Mus musculus: one gene and its partners. The main gene of each other region encodes a partner of the protein of the gene in region 2 in a complex. Links are inferred from orthologs where the notes say so. Each region holds a gene or a part of one and is shown on either strand. Other genes may lie near its edges.

Region 1 (4,116 bases), on a different chromosome or scaffold from region 2:
AAAAAAAAAAAAAGTTCTAGGCCAGACTGATAAACAGAGCAAATTCCAGGACAGAGCTACAGAGAGAAACTCTGTCTCAAAACAAACAAACGTAGCAACAACACAACAACAAAAAAAGACTAAGACAATAAAGATTTATACTGAGGGACCTTATACCAAATTGTGACATACTTCTATAATATTTTTTATTAATTCAATAATAAAATAATCCTAAATAAAATAGCAATTTTTACAAAAAAAAAATCGAAACTCAGCACTCGGAAGGCAGAGGCAGGCGGATTTTCTGAGCTCGAGGCCAGCCTGGTCTACAAAGTGAGTTCCAGGACAGCCAGGGCTACACAGAGAAACCCTGTCTCGAAAACCAAAAAAAAAAAAAAAAAAAAAGCAATTGCAATTTTTGAAAACAAGTTTAGCTGGGCTTCTACAATGAAAAAGGAAAGGAAAGGAGGAGGGAGGGGGAAGGGAAGGGAAGGGAAGGGGAAAGGAAAGAGGAAAGGACCCTAAACTTTACATTTACCAGGGCCAGAAAGATGGCTCTGCAGCTGAGAGCAGTGGCTGCTCTTCCAGAAGACCTAGGTTCAGTTCCCAGCACCCATGTGGCATCTTACAACTGTCCTTTAATCCAATTCCAGGGAATCTGACACCTTCAGACAGACGTTACATGCAGGCAAAAATATTAATGCACATAAAATAAACTTTGCATTTATCCAACTGGGAGTATGCTACATTGAAGATATCAATAAGCCAACAATCAAAGCTACAAAATATCCATAAATCTCCATAAATCAATAACCTATTAGGGTATGGGACTCTACCTATGCAGCTATAAGGAAGCCAGTAAGGAGTAAACCATGCTTTCCTTCAGTAAGCACTTCCCCTCCCCCATGCTCTGGAAGTCCAATAATTTCACTGGTTCCCCACAATGGAAAACAATTAAAATAAATAACCTACCACTGACTGAACAAAACAGCGACACGATTCAATTTCCTAATTATTTTACAAACAATATCTGAAGTAGTCTAAAGATAAATAATGAGGCCAAAAACATTTCTGGCTTTAAAAAGTGTTGGGCTAGGGGCTGGACTGCTCTTCCAGAGGTCCTCAGTTCAATTCAATTACAGATGGCTCACAACCATCTGTAATAGGATCTGACGCCCTCTTCTGGTGTGTCTGAAGACAGTGACAGAGTGTATTCACATAAATCTTTTTTTTTAAAAAAAGTGTTGGGCTAACCAGGCACAGGCCTTTTACCCAGCACTTGGGAAGCAGAGGCAGGAGGATGAGTTTCTTTGAAGTGGGACCCAGTCTCCTCTATTCAGGAAGTTTCAGGGCAACCGGAATTACATAGTAAGACTATCTCAAAAAAGAAAACAAAAACATGTGTTGTACTTTCATGTTTAAAGACAAAAGACTAGTTAATGCAGGGACATTTCTGGCTTTCAAAAGTGTTAGTATTTTCAGTTCCTCAAATGTCCCAGCTATTGGTCCTAAACCATCTCTTTAGATTCGCATCGGAATTCCCTCCTTACACCCTCCTCTATCCTACCACAGCGACACTCACTGCATGGTACAAGATGTTCCCTCCGGCTCAGACATCCTCCCCTAATTTAAAACTGATTGATCCTTTTTTATCAGCGCCGCGTCACCACCTCCCAAAAATAACTAAGCATAAATTAATGGCTCCGTTACCCAGCTTCTCAGAAAGTACTGGCTTTACTTCTCTGTACACATTCCTTTGATTTTCTAAGAGAATATTCACACATCTGCTTCCACATCAAACTGTCAAATTTCTGACATCCTTAGCTTGTTACCTCTCTCTAACACCGAGACACACACTTAGAAAGGACGGGTTTAGTGACTTAGTGTCAGCGTAAATTTTGGCTTCTTAACCGGGAGCCAAGAAACAGGGATTCTGTCTCTCAGACTCAAATTCCTTCCCGTCTTCTCTGGTTACTTTCCTTATGGAATCTGGTTGCTTCTCAACATGTTTCTAGCTCTGTTTACTCTTGTGCAGCATAAAATAAGCGACTACCCAGAAAACTTTGGCAACTGGTCAAATCTGCCTTTCCTTCTCTCTTCCTCCTGATTCTCCAACACCTAGCTCTCAAAGGGAAAAAGATAGAACACCAGGACACAAGTGATTAAAGGAGTAAACTACCAGATTTTCTGCCGGAATCATTTAGTGCAAGCACCACAACACGATCCAGCCGCCTTGGAGATGCCTGTATCGCGAAGGCTGGGATTGGCAGGCCTGCGCTGAAGCGGCCTCCGTTAGGAGCGGCCCGAAAGCGGCTGCCGTCATTCAGGGCTTTCCAGGTACGAACTGCCGACGATAGCGCCCGGGGGGCGAGAAAGTCGGCCTCCCACGTCCGCCTCCCCGCTCCCTCCCCGGGAGTCCCCCGGGGCAAGCCGCTCGAGCGAGGCTCTCCGGTCAGAACAAGAGAACTCGGAAGCACCAACAGCCAGCGCGGAACAAAGCGCCGGTCCCGGAGTGCGAGAGGACGCCATTACGCGGGCAGCGGCCTGCGCCGACGAGCCGAGCAGGCCTCGCCGCGCGGCCTCGGTCGAGACCAGAGATGCCACGCGAAGACGCAGAAAGCCAGGAGAGAGGGCCGCGGCTGGCTGGCTGCCGAGGTCGCGCGTGGGAAGGGAAAGGCCGCTTACCTTCGTGAGTCTTGGCGATCTTCGCCATTTTGTCCACTCGAACACACAGACGGAACTGGCGCTCCCAAGGACTTCCGCTCGCCGCCGCCAGAAACAGAGGCCGCTCTCTGAGCGTGCGCACCCGGGAGCGCGCGCCGCACTGTAGCACGTACTTCAACTGCCACCTATATGAGACTGCGAGGGGCATTATGGGAGTGGGCGGGGCCAGGGCGGGCTCCCGGCGGCTTCCTTAAAAAGCCAGCGAAACCGCGGGGAAGACTAAACGCGGAAGAGGATGGCTACTTCCCAAGAGGGCTGTAGCCTGTCCGGCCAGTGGTGGGTAACGTGCCGTTAATTCAAGCACTCGGAAGAGAAGAGGCAGTTCGAGGCCAGCCTGGTCTACAAAGAGAGTTCCCGAAGCCAGGGCTGTACAGACAAAGCCTGTCTTTAATAAAACCAAAGGAGCCTGGCAGTGGTGGCGCACCCCTTTAATCCCAGCACTTGGGAGGCAGCGGCAGGCAGATTCTGAGTTCGAGGCCAGCCTGGTCTACAGAGTGAGTTCCAGAACAGCCAAGGCTACACAGAGAAACCCTGTCTCGAAAAAAACAAAAATAAAAAGTAGAGAGAGAGAGAGATTAAATTACACAAAATAGAATTTAGCCAAAGGAACACTGCCTCCAAGACACCCAAAAAATAAACAGTATGCTAGCCAGGCCTGTTAGAAATAAAGTTTATGATGCCTAAGATGTTAATGTTGGTTCACCAGTATTGACCAGCCATTAGATACGGTAGAATACTTCTCTTAACAGGCAGCTCAAGGGAATAGTATAGGGTCACAAGCAATGTTAAGTCCTGATCTACAATAAAGCCCAGTTCTTTTCTTGAGAGAAACATAATTCTGCCAAATGGGTAAGATGACCCCAGGTAACAACTATTTGAAAAAGTACAACACTGGTGCACTTAAAATAATTCTGGCAATAACTGATGCCTAAATGACCAGGCAAATAGGAGTGACCTATTGACCAGATTTTCAGCCTTCTGTCTCTGTTTAAGTTGTACTAAATGTAACCCAGGGTTGGGACCTAAATTACAAATTTGAGGATAACCTCATATTTGGAGAAAATAAGCCTAAGGTGTCTCTAAGTTATCAAAATGTATTCAAGGCTGGCCCTACCGAGCATTAGCCAGAGCCAGCTGTGCCAGACCTTTTTCCTTTATTATCCTCCAAATGTGCAGGATGCTTTCTCACTGGGAAGGCTTATCATTTCTATAACAGATTCAAAGGAGCATTTGCTGCATTTGTGGTAATTGTAGAAGCTAAATACTTCCTGGAGTTCCAGAGTAATGATAAACATCACTAAAAGATCACCCAGAATTGTCTTGTGAATCCTCTTTTATAAAAATAAGATTTTTTCATGCTGGGCGTGGTGGCGCACGCCTTTAATCCCAGCACTCAGGAGGCAGAGGCAGGCG
Region 2 (3,537 bases):
CTACTGGCTGTACAAGCTCCACGGCCTGAATATCAACTACAACTGTGAGATCTGTGGGAACTACACCTACCGAGGGCCCAAGGCCTTCCAGCGGCACTTTGCGGTAAGGAGTTGAAAGCCACTGTTCTTGGGAACTAAGTAGAAACACACCACTTTAGAAAGAGAAGAGGACGGGAGCAGCCTGTGAGGGCCATTGGTGTCCAGAGCTGAAAGGCATCAGAGGCTGGGTTGGCGGCTGTAGCCCCGAAGCCTGGGCTGCTCTCTGGAGCTGCTGCCACTCTGCTGTGGAACGTGGGTTTGGCTTTCCCATGCTCGTCCTTGTACCTTTCCCTCCTGTTTTTCTGCAGCATCTTGGATCATTTCTGGCTTTTGGTCATTTCTCTGCATTGTTATTTAAGGGGGCTGGGCAGGTTTTGATTTTTTCAAGTTTTAAATGGGCCCTTGCTTCTTTGCAGAAGAAGTAAACTAAGCTTTGATATTTACCAACCTGTTGTTGACACGAGTAGAGTCTGAGTACCACCTCGTCGGTGGGCTCACCCTTGCTGCATTCTGCCCTTCACTTTTGGAGGGCAGTTACATAATGGAAAAGACATTCCGTATTAGACAAACATGGCAAGTGATGTGAGCTTCCCTCTCAGACCTGTTACCAGCTGCTCCCAGGTCCTTTCTCTGGGTCCCTGAGTGGCCTCTGAACTTTTCTTAGCTGGGTGGGGTTAGTGTCCAGGGTTAAGCCTGTGCTAGCTTTCTCTAAGACCTGAAGCTGTGGATTCATCTCGCTCTCCCTGCTCCTCCATCCTCCATACCTGCTCAGCAGTTTGCTCCTGAGCCTCCAGAAATGCCAGTCTGCCCTCACGGCCCCGCAGGGGTTTCTGGGTTGTGCCAGCTTCTGCCTAGCACCGAGTGACGAGTCCCAGGCATACTTCTCTGACACCACTAACCCTAGAACCTGAAGTTTGTCCACCTGAGATAGTGCAGCACTGCTTGGCAGTGTCGGCCTGTGTCAGTCCCAGCCCGCTGTGTAGACACACCCCAGAAGGAGTGCTGCCTTTCGCTGGGGTAGGGTCTATGGTAGAATGAAGTGGGTGCTGCCTCAGCCATCCCTGTTTCATGCTGTCCCTCTCCTTCCCTCCAGGAGTGGCGTCATGCTCATGGCATGAGGTGTTTGGGCATCCCAAACACTGCCCACTTTGCAAATGTGACACAGATTGAAGATGCTGTCTCCTGTAAGTAAGCTTGCCGACTGTTTCCCTAGCCAGACCAAGTAGCCGCTCCTACAGCTGTCCTAGAACCCTGCTGTCTCCAGGCCCAAGAGCAGGGGTTGTGGCTATAGAAAGCTAAGGCACACATATAATTACTGCATTTTTTATGGGAGCGAGCAAGTCAACAGTACTGATTATATCTCCTTGAAAAGAACCCTATGCTGAGGTTAGAACAGGGTCTTTAGCCTGAATCTATGAGCTTTCCTCTCTGGAGCATTCTGAGAGAGTTATTTGTTACTCTTCTGAAGAGACTTTAATGTGTTCAGAACCACTGATCCAGAAGGAAACAGAAGTGGCTCCATGCTCAGATTCCTCAGAGAGTGACAGCAGCGACGTACTCATTGGAGGAAGGGCCGGGGGTGGGGTGGGGTACGGCAGGGGAATGTGTGCCAGGTGCTTCACCTTGCCTGGCAGCCTCTGCTACTGACACCTTACTACAGGCTCCTTCTCATCCTTACTGCAGGCTCCTTCTCATCCATCTCTGTTAAGTTTCACTTCATGTGAGCCAGACAGTTGGTTTTATTTATTGATGGGTTTGGTTTGGTTTGGTTTTGTTCTAGACAGAGTCTCACAATGTAGCTTGCCTGTCCTGGAACTCACTCAGTAGACAAGGCTGGCCTCAAACTCAGAAATCCGACTGCCTCTGCCTCCCAAGTGCTGGGATTAAAGGTGTGTGCCACCACGCCCGGCTCATCTTACTTTCTTAAAACTTGCAGAACCACCTGCCCAGGGGTGTGGCAGCACCCACAGTGAGCTGAGCCATCCCGTGTCAGTCAGTAATCAAAGTGCAGCACAGCCGGGCAAGGTGGTGCACGCATTTAATCCCAGCACTCAGGAGGCAGAGGCAGGCGGATTTCTGAGTTCGAGGCCAACCTGGTCTACAGAGTGAGTTCTAGGACAGCCAGGGCTATACTGAGAAACCCTGTCTCGAAGAAGAAGGAAAAATAAAAAAAGAAAGTGCAATACTGAAAATCTGATGGGGTATTTTCTCACTTGACGTTCCAAACTAACCAGGACAGAGGCTGAGCATGGAAACAACTCCTTTAATCCCAGATCTCAGGTGACAGAGACAAGATCTCTGAGTTCCAGGATAGCCTGAGCTCGAGGACAACCAGGACTACATAGAGAAACCCTGTCTCAAAAAACAAAACAAGCTGGGCGGTTAATCCCAGCACTTGGGAGGCAGAGGCAGGCGGATTTCTGAGTTCAAGGCCAGCCTGGTCTACAGAGTAAGTTCCAGGACAGCCAGAGCTACACAGAGAAACCCTGTCTCGAAAAACAAAAACAAAAAAAAACAAGACAAAACCAAACCCTAAGCAGGACGCATGTGTGATGCCTTCTAAGCTATGATCCTGTTCATTTTATCCAAGTTTCTCCAGACTGCTCCACACTGCTTCTTTTGAGAGTGTTTCCTTTTTACTGTTGTAATCGTTTGTTTTGTTTTTGAGGCAGGGATATTCATTTAGCACAAACTGGCCTCAATCTCACTATGTAGCCAAGGCTAGCTTTAAGCTTCCTGATCCTTCTTCCTCTGTCTCCCAAATGCTGAGGTTACAGGTGTGTACATCACCCTGATTTCATGAGATTTTCTTTTACAGCAAGGTGAAATCATGATAAATTTCTCAATAAAAGTTTTATCTACAGGTAGTTCTAGATCAGAATTCCATTTGGGGGCTGGCAGTCATTAAAGGAACCTTCAGGGAGCTGGGCGGTGAGGGTGAGAATGACGTAACACTGCACAAGTGGACTGTGGGCCCTAATGACTGCTTATCTCCCATCCTGCAGTGTGGGCCAAGCTGAAACTGCAGAAGGCTTCAGAACGGTGGCAGCCTGACACCGAGGTGGGTGCTAATGTGGAGAGTGTTAGATGTGGCGTCAAGTGACAGCTTCCTCACCTTGCAGAGGAAATTCTCTGTACTAGCAAGTGTAATGAGACAGTGTCTACAAGGTGACTGTGTGAACCTGCTGCCATGCATCTAAGTCTTTGTCATCAGGCAGTTCTCCCACTGAGGACACCAGTCTCCTGTGCTACCCTAACGATTTCTAAAGAAGTCTGTCACTCTTAGGTCTCTGAGGAAAGCATCAGGTCAGAGGTAGTTCTCTCTTCAGAGTGGGGATGTGTCCTGGATGTTGGTCTTGACAGGTCTCAGAGGTGACTACCACACATTGAAGGGGTGGCGGTAACATCCTGGTCCTGTGGAGACTGTCATAGTCTCCTTTATTCTATGTCAGTATTTCAGTTCTGATTTTTCGCATCAAGAACCCTTTCAGCTACAGT
Region 3 (4,257 bases), on a different chromosome or scaffold from region 2:
CAGTCTTCCTCTGTGCGCTTTGCCCCTCCCCAGATGGGCTCCTCAGCTCTCACAGTCTCTGCCCTTCAGGATGAGCTTTCTCACCTTCAGGAACTGTTAAGACAATGGACACCAAGAATATCTCCCGAGGACCAGAGCAAGAAAAGAGATCCGAATACCATCCTCTCTCAGATCTGCTGAAACTGTTTGTTAGCGTCGTTCTCAGAGGCAGGGCAGGGGTCTCTGCTCATCTTCCTGTCTGACCTTGACGCCTCAGCTTTGGCATTCCAGTCTGCAGAGTTCACTTAGAAGGCCCGTTTCTGTAGCAGATGGTGGCGCTACCAACCTAAAGGTCTCCCGATTTGTTTGATTTCTGGGGCTATTTTCATTTCTTGTGATTTGAAAACTAAGAAACAAGACCAGTTCAGAATGTGATTGCCCCTTTTCCCAGGCAATTCTGTACCTTTTGGATGGCCGTCAAAACTGTGACATGAGAGACCCTTTTCATCAGTCCCAACAATGATGTCCTAGAGACCTCATTCGCAACCTCTCTACACTACTTTGAAATCTTTTCTTAGTCTTCTGTGGGAACGAGGTGAATAAGGGAGAAACCGTCTCCTCCCACTGTATATTTTCATAGCAGCGTTTCTATTTAAGGAGTTCATTAAAGCACAGTATTTCTACACATTGCTGGTATTTTCTTGTGTTGAATGAAGATCTCAGCAAAGCCGTGGGGGTGGAGGGGAGGGTGTGAACTGAGAAAAACACCCAAATTATTGTAAGGAAATAAAGGATCCAAGTCAGGCGTGGCCTGGAAGAAATACACATAAAATATGGGGGAAGGGGTCCGCACACCTTTTTTGAGACATGGTCTCTATGTGTCTATTAGGCCAGCTGGAACTCTGTTTTTTGAGACAGGTTTTCTGTGTGGCCATGGCTGTCCTGGAACTCGTTCTGTAGACCTGGCTGGCCTTTAACTCAAGAGATCCATGTCTGCTCCTTAAAGCTTCGATACCAGCCCGCAACCCAACCCGGTTTCGTGTCCCAGATTTCCCAAGATAAGCGGAGATTTGACACTTAGGGGAAAACAAAATACCTCAGGCTCAAGTCTAGGCCGAGGGCGAGTCTGCACGAGCGTCGTGGACCTCACTAAATAATAGGTCGCTCCAGAAGGCAGTCCTGGCCCTGCACTTAGGACACAACTCTGCGTCACAGAACGTACAAAGCCTGGTTTTGCACTTGAATGTGCGTTTGGGGAGCCGTGTGAGCCTCTAACAGTCTGGAAGCATCCGGGGCTTTAGTTAACTGTGTCGAGACGGGCTGAGCACATCCGTTCCGCCCCGACTACAGCAGCAGCCCTAGAGCGCCTTTCCCTTCCGAAAGACAAGACTCCGACCCCTAAGATGGCCGCGATCGCTTCCGGCTCCTCCCCCCCCCCCCGGCGCCGGCCCCGCCCAACGTGAGCCTTGGCCCGGAAGTGGAAGTTGTAACTGAGGTCAGGGGGCGGTGCTGCTGCTTAGAGACGGCGGGAGCCCCTTCGCCATGGCTGCCGGACCGATCTCCGAACGGAATCAGGGTAATTGGGAGAGAAGAGCCCAAGATAGGAGCAGGGAAGTGGAGGGAAGATTAGTGCCGGAAGCGTTCCCCCTGGGGTGGTAGACGAGATCCCCCCCGGTGGGACACCGACCTCTGGGCACCTGGCTGGCCGCGAGGCCGGGTGCAGGCCGAGGCCTGTGAGAAGCGATGCTTCTAGATCAGCTCCCTCCACCAAGAAGACAAAAGCCTCCCGGGAGTACCGGACCAGCAAGAATGCCAAATTAGACGTAGCAGATTTTCTAGATGATGGTGGCAGAGGGAATTTCAGGGCTTTAGGCGACGGTTTTTGGTTTTTGTCTTCTTTTTCACTGCCGACTCCTCATCGCCTGCTTCTTCCCTTTAGATGCCACGGTGTACGTGGGCGGTCTGGACGAGAAAGTGAGTGAGCCGCTGCTGTGGGAGCTCTTTCTCCAGGCAGGGCCAGTGGTCAACACCCACATGCCCAAGGACAGAGTCACTGGCCAGCACCAGGGTGAGTAGGGTACGGGGCAGGAATCAGCCCTGGAGAGGGTTAACCGGCCCCGAAGAGGCTCAGCCGCTAGGCACAGCGCCTTTGGAATGAGCAACCTAAAGATTGCTTTCTCCTTCAGCTTCAATTCCCAGTTTCTGGAATATTTTCTCTTAGCTCTAGTTTCTGGAACCATTCTCAACCATTCTCTGTGTAGTCCTGGCTGTCCTAGATCTTGCTCTGTAGACCAGGCTGGTCACGATCTTTGAGCTCCACCTGCCTCTGCTACGAAGTGGTGGCATTAAAAGCACGTGCACGTGCAGTCGCCCAGCTATTATCTATTATGTTCTTTGTGTTTGAAGGCTGGGGAGTTAATGTTTCATTTTGAGTCTCTTCCCCTGAATGATGGGTTTTTTTTGTTTGTTTGTTTTTTGTTTTGTTTTGTTTTTTTCATTGATTCCCCAGGCTATGGCTTTGTTGAATTCCTGAGCGAGGAAGATGCCGACTATGCCATTAAGATTATGAACATGATCAAACTCTATGGAAAGCCAATACGGGTGAACAAGGCCTCAGCTCACAACAAAAACCTGGATGTGGGAGCCAACATTTTCATTGGAAATCTGGACCCAGAAATTGATGAAAAGCTGCTTTACGATACTTTCAGCGCCTTTGGAGTCATCCTACAGACCCCCAAGATCATGCGGGACCCTGACACAGGCAACTCCAAGGGTTACGCCTTCATTAATTTTGCCTCCTTCGATGCTTCGGATGCAGCAATTGAGGCCATGAACGGGCAGTACCTGTGTAACCGTCCTATCACTGTGTCTTATGCCTTCAAGAAGGACTCTAAGGGTGAACGCCATGGCTCAGCAGCTGAAAGACTCCTGGCAGCCCAGAACCCGCTGTCCCAGGCTGACCGCCCTCACCAGCTGTTTGCCGATGCACCCCCTCCGCCCTCTGCCCCCAATCCCGTGGTTTCATCCCTGGGTTCTGGGCTTCCTCCACCAGGTACAGCTTGGAGTTCAGACTGTGCCAGTGAGGCTCTTGGGAGGGAGGCTCAGGAGGCAGAAGCAGCCCTGGTAGAGTAAGCTGCTAAGTTGTTGGGCAGTGAGACAGGAGTGAGGCGTGCTGGTGGAAGGGATGAAGTTGGCGGATGAAGTTGGCAGATGGAGTGAAGCTGAAGGGAAGCCTGCAGGGGGGAGGCTGGAGCTCTGCAAGACATTAACTGTCTTCCATTTCTTACACAGGCATGCCGCCTCCTGGCTCTTTTCCACCTCCAGTGCCACCTCCTGGGGCCCTCCCTCCTGGGATTCCCCCAGCCATGCCCCCACCACCTATGCCACCTGGGGCTGGAGGACATGGCCCCCCAGCAGCAGGGACTCCAGGGGCTGGACATCCCGGTCACGGACACTCACATCCTCACCCGTTCCCACCAGGTGGGATGCCCCATCCAGGTAAGGGCTCTGTGCTGGGAAGGAGCTGAGCTTGTGAGAGGGGCTTTCTTACTGTCTGTCCTGGTAGTCTTGGATGAAAATAGTCCAGAGTCCTCCTTTTCTTCAGAAACAGACAGTACTTTGTACGTGTTGGTGCTCCTGTTTTATCTCCAGTTCTTGTATTTCCTAAAGGATAGCTTGTACTGGGCAAAACTCTCAACCTCTCCTCTGCTTCCAAGGTTGCCAAATCTAGAAGACATTTCTGCTTTTGGCTTTTTGAGAAACGGGTTCTCTGTGTAGCTGGCAGTGTCAAACTCAGAGATCCTCTTGCCTCTGCCTCCCAAGTGCTGGGACTAAAGGCGTGCGTGTTTCTAGATTTCTCTAATGTCAACCATAGCAACCTGGATCGGCTCCTTTTTTTATGTTTGTGTAGATTTTTTGCTTGTTTCTCTTTTCTTTGTTTCTCTGTAGTGTTAAATGTGAAGGTGCTAATTTACCATTGGTCTCTGGTCTTAGGTTCTTGGCAGGCTAGAAAAGGCCACTGCTCAACCCACACTTAACTTTCCTCTTTCTGACACCATCTTCAGTAGTTCTCACTTGTAGGAGCCCAGTTTACAACTCTGGGGCTTTGTCTGTTCTGTCCTCCACTTTGCAGAGCAAGTCTAGCTTATGTTTTTGTCATTGGTCACAAGCCAGTGCTCAGACTGCACTCACTTCCTGTCACTGACTCAGGGACTCATCTACTTTCACTGAGTAACTTTTCCAGGGTATTCACAGACATTTTCTTCTTCTTTTGTTTTT

The links. Proteins that work in one complex are often made in the same cells at the same time.
Region 1: Sf3a3 (region 2) and Sf3b1 share a complex: the UniProt entries of both Homo sapiens proteins name them as parts of the 17S U2 SnRNP complex. The link is inferred for Mus musculus from reciprocal best matches to the Homo sapiens genes SF3A3 and SF3B1.
Region 3: Sf3a3 (region 2) and Sf3b4 share a complex: the UniProt entries of both Homo sapiens proteins name them as parts of the 17S U2 SnRNP complex. The link is inferred for Mus musculus from reciprocal best matches to the Homo sapiens genes SF3A3 and SF3B4.

The regions. Positions count from the first base shown.
Region 1 is NC_000067.6:55,024,675-55,028,790, forward strand, and holds the start of Sf3b1 (splicing factor 3B subunit 1), read right to left. Parts: upstream 2,805-4,116; 5' UTR 2,693-2,804; coding exon 2,665-2,692; intron 1-2,664. UniProt on the Homo sapiens protein: Component of the 17S U2 SnRNP complex of the spliceosome, a large ribonucleoprotein complex that removes introns from transcribed pre-mRNAs.
Region 2 is NC_000070.6:124,728,327-124,731,863, forward strand, and holds part of Sf3a3 (splicing factor 3A subunit 3), read left to right. Parts: coding exon 1-103; intron 104-1,132; coding exon 1,133-1,223; intron 1,224-3,044; coding exon 3,045-3,100; intron 3,101-3,367; exon of another isoform or gene 3,368-3,476; intron 3,477-3,537. UniProt on the Homo sapiens protein: Component of the 17S U2 SnRNP complex of the spliceosome, a large ribonucleoprotein complex that removes introns from transcribed pre-mRNAs.
Region 3 is NC_000069.6:96,171,053-96,175,309, forward strand, and holds the start of Sf3b4 (splicing factor 3B subunit 4), read left to right. Parts: upstream 1-1,453; 5' UTR 1,454-1,521; coding exon 1,522-1,555; intron 1,556-1,918; coding exon 1,919-2,047; intron 2,048-2,488; coding exon 2,489-3,031; intron 3,032-3,270; coding exon 3,271-3,477; intron 3,478-4,257. Other genes in the region: Mtmr11 (myotubularin-related protein 11), read left to right, coding at 34-180. UniProt on the Homo sapiens protein: Component of the 17S U2 SnRNP complex of the spliceosome, a large ribonucleoprotein complex that removes introns from transcribed pre-mRNAs.